3 linked regions of the Schizosaccharomyces pombe genome follow. The protein of the gene in region 2 purifies or fractionates together with the protein of the main gene of each other region. This does not show direct contact. Each region holds a gene or a part of one and is shown on either strand. Other genes may lie near its edges.

Region 1 (3,757 bases), on a different chromosome or scaffold from region 2:
TATGGAAACCTTGACTTAGAACAAAATTTTAACAAGTTAGGAAAATATATCGATGAATTCTATGACTACATTGGCGATGTTTTGCTTGAGATGATTGCTCTCGACACTAATACAAGTAAAAGCTGAAGACAGAGAACAAAATAGTTAACGATAAAAAATTAATTCAACATATTTAATAAAATTTTCCAATGAGATTATAACAAAAGGGCTACAACAATTAGAACCCCGTTGCTACAAAAGTGTAATTATTCCAATCCCTTATAATTTTATTCAAATTTTTAACCTAACAAAAAAAGTTACTTTTGCAGGTATTTTTCCCATAACGCTTGATGAATTTGCTTTAATTCATAAAATAATCTTTTTGCTTCCTTGAGCTGCATTTCACTGGTTTCAGCTTTGGCACGCCAACTGGACTCTGAGCCTTGTGTCTAAAAATTATGTTAGTTCAAAATCTTTAAGAAGTGGACATACGACAATATCAGAGCTGATTTTGAGAATATTTTCCGGTTGCATCAGCTGCTCTACCCCATCATCTTGAATGCAAATTCGAACATCTGAATTTAAGTACTCATTTGTAATCATGCGCTTTAAAACTGGAAAAGAAAGTGAAGAGTTTGAATAAAATGATATCTTGTCGACCTTGCATTGAAGAAAAGAGACCGGCGAATAATACTGAACGAGGCGGCGCAAAACTTGTCGAGAAACACTATCCCAAACCAAAACATTACCATCCTTATCACCACTAATGAGTAGAGAAGCATCAAAGGAAACAGTCAACGTGGTTATTGGGGATTGACACGATATAATACTTGATTCTCTACTGTCGTTATAATCTACAACTCGACCCATACCTCCGATGGCGTTTGGAATAGTAGTATTATCAACAGACGTAACTCTTTTTTTCTCTTTAACGTTGTTAGAAAAAGTGGATGATCCTGTGTATAATGGAATCCATATTATTCCCTTTTCGTTACCAACGTAGACAACACGTTCGGAAGGATCCACGGTCATGCAACTGGGAGTTGAGGGAAGAGCAATCGTTGTCAAAAGGTTTCCTGTAGAAACATCCCAAATCCTTATTGTGTTGTCTTCCGAAGCCGTGTAAAGTCGACCACTAACGATGGGACCAGGGCCAATTTCCATAGACACGATAGAACGCTTATGACCAGAGAAATGAGAAATCGCTTTAACTGAACTATTACTTGTTTCAAAAGTAGAGTTTTGGTCTACCAAAGTGCTTATCAACCAAGCGAATACATCACCATCGTTGGAAGCAGTGAATAAAACCATACCATCATTGGAAAATTTCAAAATGGTCAAAGGTTGGTAGTGTGCTCTGAAGAAATAAATAAGAGCACCGGATTTTAATGACCATATGTACAAATTTCCTTTTTCTGTGCCTGCTGCCAGCCAAGAACCACAAGGACTCGATTGCACACAAATAAGTATTTCAGGTAAAATGATTGATTGATCCAAAATTTCCTACACTTGTATTAGTTTTACTCATTTAAAATGTGTTTAGCTACTTTAGCTTGAAATTAGCTGTAAAACTGCTGTTATAAACGAAGTAAGCGTACAACTAATGCAGTGCAGAGAGAACCTACCTTTCCAAAATTGTGAATATTCAGCTGTGGACGGGTATGTTGAGCAGATAGCAAATGATTCAAAGTAGTACATGTCGCGTTTTTAGCAGGTGAGCTTTGACGGAATGTGCTCACCAGGGTACCGGTATGTAGATTGTGGCATAGAACATTACTTGGTTCACCCTCAATAGCTTCACAGCCAGAAAGAAGCAGCTCCATAAACCTTGAAATGCGTGTTGAATAAACGCAAATCGCTGAACTGAAATGTTAGCAACAAAGCGAAATTTGCAAGAAAAGTCGTGTTGGACTACATTGCTAAATTAACCGAATTCAACCGCATTTCGTTAAAATGACTGTTTACTCTATTTTCTAGAGCAAGCATAATTGTAGACAAATTATCTAAGTCAGCTATTTACGTTTCCAAATTGATATAATGGGCTGTTTGGAAACTATATTAGTTTTATTTGTACCCAATCAAACGTATATTGATTTCGACTATACTGTTGGAAAATTTCTGACTTTAGTGGTGTAAATATGTTTAATGTTTACATTTTCGCTACACGATTTCATGCAATGCTTTTCAATTAACCAAGAAAAGGTTACTTTATTGCTAACAGAAGAATTGATTTAATTCTTAAACATTTGTAACAATATTTTAATGCATGTATAAATATAGATTAAGCCAAATTTCGGTGTCAATATGAGGATCATCCGTTTAAAGTTTGTTAAAAATAACTAAACGGTTCAATCAAAAGGCATAGGAATTGAAGGATTTGAACGTGATATTTTTAAATGATATTCGTTTTTGGATAAAAATGTATAATGTATAATGATAAGCTCAAGTGGTGATATATAAAATCCCCAAATGAAACCACACAAAGAGATTAATCAGAAATGAAGAAATATAGTTATTATTTTCTGGGAGACATTATTAAAAATTTAAGATTAAACTTTCTCAATTTTTAATTGCCCTTTCTGGCTAACACGCTTTTCACGAGACCCCGGTTCATCTAAATCCGGCGTTTCTTTATAAAGTCTTTTTTTCTTACTAGTGGGCCGAGGAACATCGATTCTCCTAGACAACCTTTCTGAGGAGACATTTAAATCGTTATCTTGTTTAATGCTTATGAGTTGCTTACGCTTTTGGTCACGTCTCCGATTATTTATTCCACGATTATGGGATTGAACATTTCTCACCATATTATTCAAAAAAACTTTATTAGGGCGAAGTTTTGTTTTTTCCTTTTCAATATAGCCATGGTCGACAAACGACTTGTTCTTTTTTTTAGATTCGTGAATTAACAGTTTAGCAACAAACTCATCAAAGTTGAGTCTGTCAAGTGATGATTCCATGATGAGTATTATTAATGTAAATCATTTATTATCATTTCATTTAGGTAATTTGGCAATAATTAAGTGGATAAAGTGTGGATGCAGGAATTAAGAAGTGGTGGTGTTCCTGCCTAGTGTATAAACTATGAGAAATCAGCACGATCCCACATCACGGTAAAATGTTGAAATAAGGCATATGCTAAGTACACATGATTTATTCGAATTATTCAGTAAGCATCAAATGAATCTTAGTTACAAACAGATAGCTAATATTTTTCAAACTTACGGCATTAAGAATTAGCGTTAGGCCAAACTGATATACTAACTACATTTAGTTACTACTTTGCTTATATGTACAAGCTGGTCAGTTATTTAAACATCTTACCATTCTGGAATTTGAAAATTAAATGTTAAGCTAGTTCAATTCAGAGTATGTCTATTCAGTATAACCTGTATTTTTTTAAGATTTTTATGTTTATAAAAAATAAAGATGTATCAACTGTCTTTTAGCTAACCTATTGTTGGTTTGTTTACTCACCTCAACATTATGGTGGCCAATGTGGGGGCCACGAACTTCTTGTTATTGATTTCCTGACTTGGCATTTGCATATATATATAGGCGTTGAAACATCTAATTGTACATTAGAGTCACCACTAGGGAATTGTTGAAGGTTTCTTGTACATAACCAAAAACCCCATAAAAAATTATATCGTAACTTCTCTTTTGTAATCAAGTTGACCATGAGGTCTATGAAACCTCCAGGGTTTTCATCAGATCTTATGGATGAGCATTCTGTCGACTTGTTGAATGGGTCCATTTTGGCAGCTGAAAATCCCTCTAA
Region 2 (3,757 bases):
TTCACGACTCATGTATACAACTTCTGTTGGTTGACATATATCAACAATAGAAGAAAGAAGCTCAGCACCACCCCCTCTGATCCAACCTGGACAATTTATTATCAAAGGAATAATCTCCTTTTGGGATATCTCTTGATTAAAAATATAATCTTTATATTCAGCAAAAAGACGAGTAACACAAGCAATGTAATGATCCGGATCTTTCTGGGGACTTATATCTCCGAGATGCAAACGTAACATGTAAGTAGGAAAGAGCATTCGGGCGAAAACAGGTCCTTGCAATGGTGAGTTAATATAATATAATGAAATGTGCCCAGAAGGTACGACTTCGGGTTGACCAGGGTCGAGGTCAAGATATGCAATGTGACGATACTGCTGTAAAAGCCTATTGGTGATGTATCGTGAAAAACTGCTTTTACCGGATCCTTTAGGTCCACAAACCATAAGACGAGGAACAACATAGTCTGACTTGGAAGTGGAAAACAGTAACTGGTTAGAAAAAGAACACCAAGACTCCGGAGTTATCTCAAAATTATTTGATATTGATGAGGCATCTTGCAAAAGATTCTTAAAAGAAAACAAACGCTTTGCAAATGGAAGGACACGAGCTATCTTAGAGAGACCATTTTCATTTTCTCTAAAAGCTATTACAGTTTCAAAATTTGGGAGAATATCTTTGGGCTCTAATTCATATTCATGCTCTTTTGGTGAGTAAGAGGGAACTGCAAAGGAACGAAGGTTAAGGGAATCTTCTTCATATTCGGAAATCTGCATAGCAGGTAATGCATTGTCTATAGCAGAAAATACTGGTGTCGCAAATGCTAACGGAGCATTTAAAGGAAACCAAGACATACAAGCTGAAGAATAGGTTGCACCAAAGAGCTGAAACTTCCCTCTAACGCTACGAAAAATGAAGGTACCAACCATTGCTAATTTTTGATCTTTATGTAATCCAACGTATAGCGTATCTTTAACCCTGAATGAATTTTCTTCCGTAATTTTAATCACCGGAATGGCATCGTTAGACGATTGTGGGCTATGTGGAACGTTTTCACTTACGGTTTCGTCGTCCAAGTTTAAAGGTAAACTCGGAGAAATCGTTTGAGGACTAGCAACTGAGAATTCAGAGTATTCCTGAGGATTAACCTTGGACCTATTTATATCAGGAGTTATTTCAGAATCATTCTTGGATGACTCTGAATGGAGCTTTGTTCTATGATCAACTCCTGGGACAACCACTTGTACGAGCGTGTGCTTGTAAGAAGGAAATTCGCCTTCAGTTTTCATTTCGTCTTCATATTTGTCTTGGCTTTCTTCTTCCGAAACGCTGCGCTTTTTCCCCGATGAATTGTCTTTCTTTCTGGCTGCTTTACTTAAAGTCAATTGACGCACAGCGAATGCACTGAGTGGAACTGTCATAGAACTGTTAGAATATTATCCTAGAAAAGATATAAGAGAGCCAATACTTAAGACTAACTAAGACACTTACCATTTGAGCTCTCAATACGTTGACGCTTGACCATTATGGTAGAAGCTTATTAAATAAATAACTAAGTTTTCCTTTTTTTTTTTAAAAGTGCAATTCACACGAATGTGAACAAGCAAGCGCTTTGGATCTTAATTCAATTAACAACAATCCACCATAAACTAACAATCAATAACAAAAGTTAATTTAGAAAATTTAGCTATGTTTTGTAAACAGATAATAAAATTTTTTCTTCTTATTGCACAGCGAGAAAGAGTAAATAGAGGAAATACCAAGTAAAGTACGATATCTGTAATTTGGGAAATAGTGATTAACGGTATATTTTTATAACAAAATGTAACAGCACGGTATTCCTTTTTTGGTAGTAACATAACGATAATACCAGCTTGCTTTAACTAGTAGCTTCTTATTAATATTGAAACAATGAAGAATTAATCGTTATACCTTGAAAAAAAGGAAAGAATATAATACTCGTTAAAAATCAGTTATTGAAGTTAATAGATATTTAGACTATAACTGTAGTGATAATTATAATTGGGACGAACACCCGAGTTTTTTTTATTCTATCAGTTGACCCAACAGTTAGGTTATGAACTGTTGCTTTCGATGTGGATAAAAGTATTAGAATATAAATCATTAGTCTCTTTGATTTATATATTGAAAATTTCCACAAAATATGTGTCAATCAAAGTCATATCGCCCACTCAGCTTATGCATCATTAGGAAACTCAACATAAAACCAGTATATACGTTTACTGCGTTATTAGATATTCACTATTGCAATGTGTCTTTAGGTTATTACTATAACAAACCATCGTTCTGAATCACAATATTTTATTATGCTATTCATTATTTTGTAAACATTAATTTTGTTTGAATTGAACCATTAAACAAAAAGAAAAAATGATAATTAAGCTTGATTCATTAAGAATCAAGATGAAGGAGAAATGAACGTAATAACGACAATGAAATTGTGAATTTAACAAGGCGGAACAACGAGTTTTTCGATTTCATTAGTTGATTTTAAGTTGTCGTAAACAATTTAAATCATTATTGTTTGTGACTTGAGTTCCATTAAAAAAGACAAATAATTAGACTCGCATACATAATAAATAAAGACTCGGTCCTCAATGCACTTTATCCAACATCGTAGAATACATTGGTTGGCAATTTTTGGTAATTGAAAGAATAAGTTAAGCATATATTCCATAACCTTATAGTGAAAGAGGATGATTAAAGAAAATTGGTGCTTATTTTTAAAAAAGCCGCAGCTTCTCTGCGTTGGTAATTTTGGTAAAGAGGTTTTCCAACTGGAGCGACAACTACATTAATAACGCAATTAGACTTCGCTTTCAACTTCCATTTCCCCCAAGGGAATGTCATTATTATCGTTGGCACCTCTAATCGCTCTCCCTGCACCTTCTAATCGGGTAAGTAAAGAATCATTCATACAGTTGGTTGAATACACATACCTAATATAAAAGCTATACCATTCCTGATAAATTTGGGCATCCTTTTGAGAGCACCTGGACATTCTGATACGATTAGAATAAATTACAGGAATATTAAACAAACCCATTTCGTAAAAGAAAAGAAAATTGCCTATAACAAAGAGTGAAGAGGCTACAATTTCGTAGCCTGTCCCGTCGATATGTTTGTCAAATAAATGCATCAAACCTTTCGTTACAATAACGACACAACTTTGTACACCTAGAACTTGAAAAAACCCAGAAAACATATGCTTAAGTGTCCAGAATGGAAGACGAACTGCGTGTTAGCGGTCAGTAATGGTAACTACATAACTTCACATACCATATAATAAAAATAAAAGTAAAGCAGCTGAAATACTGCATGTAGAACAGATGAGAGTCTTGTCTAAGTTCACATTACCGAATTTGACGCAACCAAAGAGTACAAAACAAATGACTACCCATAATAACCAGATTATTACAACCCATTTTTCCCTTGAGTTGTACAAGCCGACCGCAGTTACCTTGACACATTGTGCCACTGCCTGGTCCAAGTTTCAAAGAAGCCTAATGAGTTAGTGAATGAACGTAAGAATTGACCTATCGTGTCACTTACACCATAAAGAAATAAAAATCATCAGGCAAATAGCACACCACACTCCAAAATATACCCATTCATCTTTGCCATAATCTTTAAAGAGAGCGTCCTTATACGTTAGATAACAAATTGCGGGTACGTTTAGCACAAAGATTGAAATGAATGATAAAAATTCTTTTTTCAACGGAGAGGTAGAAGAATTAT
Region 3 (3,757 bases), 1.7 Mb from region 2:
TTGCTTACGTGAAGCAGTTCGTGGTCACCCCCCAAAGCACTAATTTTATTAATTTTTTTTATTCTTTAAACATTTAGACGACGTCGCTGGTATATGACTATCAACCCTAAATTATCGTTTTTCTGAGAGACTATTTAGGCCATGCATAGTTCATCATTTTTTTTGATCATTAAATTAAAATAACACGAAATTCCCCACATAATGATTTCTTTTTTCTATGATTTCTAAATCGAAAATAATTTCCTTCTTTGCTTTCTTCACTTACCCTGAGCAAATACCACCTGCGTTGGCCTAAGTGGCTGATTTGTATAAATCTGCTGTTAAAAACTTTTTGGATTTCTTTTTATTTTTGTGTTTTTATAATATTTAATTTGGATTTATCCGTTTTATACTCTGTTTTGTTTTTTTCAGAAAAAAATTTAACTCCCCTTTCAAAATGAATGCAGCCAAATCTTTATCTATTGTTCCATTCTTAGATTGTTTGTCAAGGCTTAAGACTACTCCACGTACTGGCTGGCTATATCATGGCATCGAAAAGCCGGAATCCATTGCCGACCATATGTATAGAATGGGGATTTTGACTATGTTATGTAATGACCCAAGCATCAACAAGGAACGTTGTCTAAAGATTGCCGTAGTGCATGATATGGCTGAGTCAATTGTTGGTGATATAACACCTCACGAGAATGTTTCGAAAGAGGAAAAGCATCGTATGGAGTCGGAAGCGATGGTTTCTATCACCCAGCAACTGATCCCCTTAAACCTTTCCTTACAAGCTGAGGAGATTAAAGAGCTATTTTTAGAGTATGAGTCTGCTTCCACTCCCGAAGCTAAGTTTGTCAAGGACATTGATAAATTTGAAATGATTGCTCAAATGTTTGAGTACGAAAGGAAATTTAATGGTGAGAAAGATTTGTCACAGTTCACTTGGGCCGGTAAATTAATTCAACATCCTCTTGTTAAAGGTTGGCTCAATGATGTGTTACAGGAGCGTGAGCAATTTTGGGCTTCGGTCCGTCAAAAGAAGCTTTAACTGATAAGAAAAGCGATACTTTCCCTGTATTTAAGTGTGCAGTTGAGAGAAACAGTTAAGAAGAAATATTTCTTAGGAATTCGCTCTAGTATCTTCAAGGCCCATTATTCAATATACCAATAGTCTCTCTTTTTTTTTATACATAGATACATTTAATAGAAGTTCAACATTAGAGCTTAGTTTAATGGTGCTATCTTCTGATATGTTTTTACTCTTCAAATGCTTTACTTTTCTAGGTTCTATCATTTACGTTCTCCCAACTTAGCTAAATATAACTTAAATACATCTACGATTAAGTCTTGTTTCTTTATAATTATTCGTTCAATAAAAAATGAATTCTTTACAGCACATTTCAAGAAGTTCATAAAATCACTTTGCTATCTGAATTTTTTTGTAGACTTAAGCTTTGAGGTAATTTACATTCCTTGGTCATTATAAAATACTAATATTGAGTTAAACATTCTCAAGTTTAAAAGGATTTTACTTCTCAAAAATTTTTAACCTTTTCTCCCTAGCAAGACTTTCCTTAACGCACGAGTAGTTCAGAACCTACACCACAAGCTCGAGATTTAGCAAGTAATTTCTTTAAGAAAACGGAAATATTGTTTTTTTGTTACTCCGTTGAATAAAGAAATCTTAGATGAGTGATTTATTAGAACGTGGCTCTCTTCCTCTTGTGAAATCTTGGTTGGCAATAACTTTTGCGAATGAAGAAGACTTACCATTTCAGGTGCCTCAAATAGCGGACATACTGGTACATCAAAAATGTATCGAAAGATTAGGAACGAGTGAAAATGCTCTTTCCGTTCGCAAGAATTGGTGCACGAGTTTAACAAAAATGTTACAATCAAAAGACTTTCGTATTCGCTGGTCAGCTATTATTCTCATTCACTGCACTATTTCTCAAAGTTGGGATTGCTTAGTAGAGCATGGAGCTACTTGGGCAAAACTTTTAATTGCTTTGTTAAACCGACCAGAAACTCCTAAAACATTGGAGATTGCCATGATAACCGTATCAAAAATGTTTAGCTCTACTGTAGGAAGACCAGCAGTTACAAGAGAATTGGTGACTCCTAATTTACCCACATTTGTGAATAATTGCTTACGAATCGCCGAATCTGGGAAGTGTCTTTGTACTGTTTGTTCTTGTTTGTATCAAGGGATCATCTCGCATTCACCTACCTTTCGTCCATTTGTTTCCTCAATAAGGAATATTTGCATTAAAATTTTAGATGGGGAAGAAGTAGTCCCTTCTTCATTACAGAAGAAAGCAGCTGTTCTTTATGCTTCGTTGTATCGATGTGTGGGGAAAGGAAATTTTGAAGACTATTGGAAGCAAAGTATTATTTCAATCCTAAAGGAATATCATCTTACTTTGGATTTTTTGTTTCAATTTGTTATAGAACCGCAAACATACCCAACTCGTGAAGAGAATTTGATGTTTCCAAAACTCAAAGGCCACTACGAAGAAACTTATCAGAAAGCTTTACACAGATGCAGAACTCTAAACTTGATTTTAATTTCTTTTTTAAGTACAAAGACGGATAAAATCGTTTTGCTTCCCATAAATGCTTTGAAGGATTTAATTCAACGTGTTTATACTGTACAACTTTCATTGCCTGTTAAAAGCGTAGAAAGTTCAGTTCAAGCTTTGCTATTCATGGTCCTTCCTCATTTGCATACGCTAGTTAATGAGTTAACCTTAAAGCTTTTTGTGGTAATTCCTCCAGCTATCATTCTTTCATTTGATTCTTACCTGGATTCATTAAATGATTGTTTACTTTCTGAGTCAACACATACTGGGGTTTTATGCTCTTCTTTAAAGTTACTTTCAAAGTTTTTGGATGTGACACATATGAATGTCCCTCTTTCAAAATACGAAAATATTGTAACGCTGGTATTAGAATATCTTGCTAATTCCTCTAAAGGTTTAGCATCCAAATCCATAGAGTTCTCTAAAAATCGTGGGCATTCTCAAAAAAAGCGAAAAACACTTTCTGAAAGTCAAGCAGGAGATACACTTATGAGTTCGGAAGAGTCTCATCAGCTTTATGATTCAGATGTCATGGATTGTTGTTTTTCTTTTTTAGCATCCATTTTGACTCATTCAATAGCATTACCACGTTTATTACGGACCAAAATAGATCTTTGCACCTTGCAGATATCTTTGTCTAACCCTACCTCAACAGTTTTGATATCTATGCATAATTTACTCCTTGCGTCAATTTTATCACCGGGAGATTCACAAGCAGTGATAGTACCTCATGCAATACGTATAATTTCTGGTCCATTAGGGCTTGTACATCCAGATCCTCTGGTCGCTTCACACGCAAGGTCATCGATGCAAACAATAGAATCGCTGATTCATCCTAGGTTCCCACCTTTGCAAAAACATCTTTCACCAAGCGAATTTGAAAATACGTTTGAGTCAAGATTTGAGCCTGTTTCTCTTGAAAACCAATCGCATATTTCTCCACCCCAGGTGGATTCTCAATCAGAGTATAAAGAAAGTAGTATTTTGGCTCCATCAAATCCTCCCTTTGAAACAGAGTCGATTACAGATTCCACTGAAATTGAAGGGATCAAAGAGTCTTTTGCATCTACAGATACAGGCTTACAGAATAATTCTACAGCTACCTCCGAGAACAAAAGAAGCGAATCAGAGCTGACTATGTCTAATGTTCTTTCTAATGAGGGTGACAGAAATGAAGAAGGTAGTGAAAT

Evidence for each region.
Region 1: the proteins of grc3 (region 2) and crb3 purify together in Schizosaccharomyces pombe (affinity purification with western blotting; one study listed by BioGRID). This does not show direct contact.
Region 3: the proteins of grc3 (region 2) and rix1 purify together in Schizosaccharomyces pombe (affinity purification with mass spectrometry, with the first as the bait; one study listed by BioGRID). This does not show direct contact.

What each region holds. Positions count from the first base shown.
Region 1 is NC_003424.3:2,310,090-2,313,846, forward strand, and holds crb3 (rixosome complex WD repeat subunit Crb3), read right to left. Parts: upstream 1,840-3,757; 5' UTR 1,803-1,839; coding exon 1,605-1,802; exon of another isoform or gene 1,483-1,604; coding exon 472-1,482; exon of another isoform or gene 429-471; coding exon 297-428; 3' UTR 182-296; downstream 1-181. Other genes in the region: arb2 (argonaute binding protein 2), read left to right, coding at 41-126; SPOM_SPAC13G7.09C (uncharacterized protein), read right to left, coding at 2,529-2,936; teb1 (Myb family telomere binding protein), read left to right, coding at 3,657-3,757. UniProt on the Schizosaccharomyces pombe protein: Required for both pre-rRNA processing and heterochromatic gene silencing. Component of the RIX1 complex required for processing of ITS2 sequences from 35S pre-rRNA.
Region 2 is NC_003421.2:2,181,573-2,185,329, reverse strand, and holds the start of grc3 (polynucleotide kinase Grc3), read right to left. Parts: upstream 1,731-3,757; 5' UTR 1,524-1,730; coding exon 1,490-1,523; exon of another isoform or gene 1,413-1,489; coding exon 1-1,412. UniProt on the Schizosaccharomyces pombe protein: Polynucleotide 5'-kinase required for both rRNA processing and heterochromatic gene silencing.
Region 3 is NC_003421.2:436,340-440,096, reverse strand, and holds the start of rix1 (ribosome biogenesis protein Rix1), read left to right. Parts: upstream 1-1,577; 5' UTR 1,578-1,673; coding exon 1,674-3,757. Other genes in the region: rib2 (bifunctional CMP deaminase family methyltransferase/riboflavin-specific deaminase), read left to right, coding at 1-43; hdd1 (metal-dependent HD domain-containing phosphohydrolase), read left to right, coding at 437-1,033.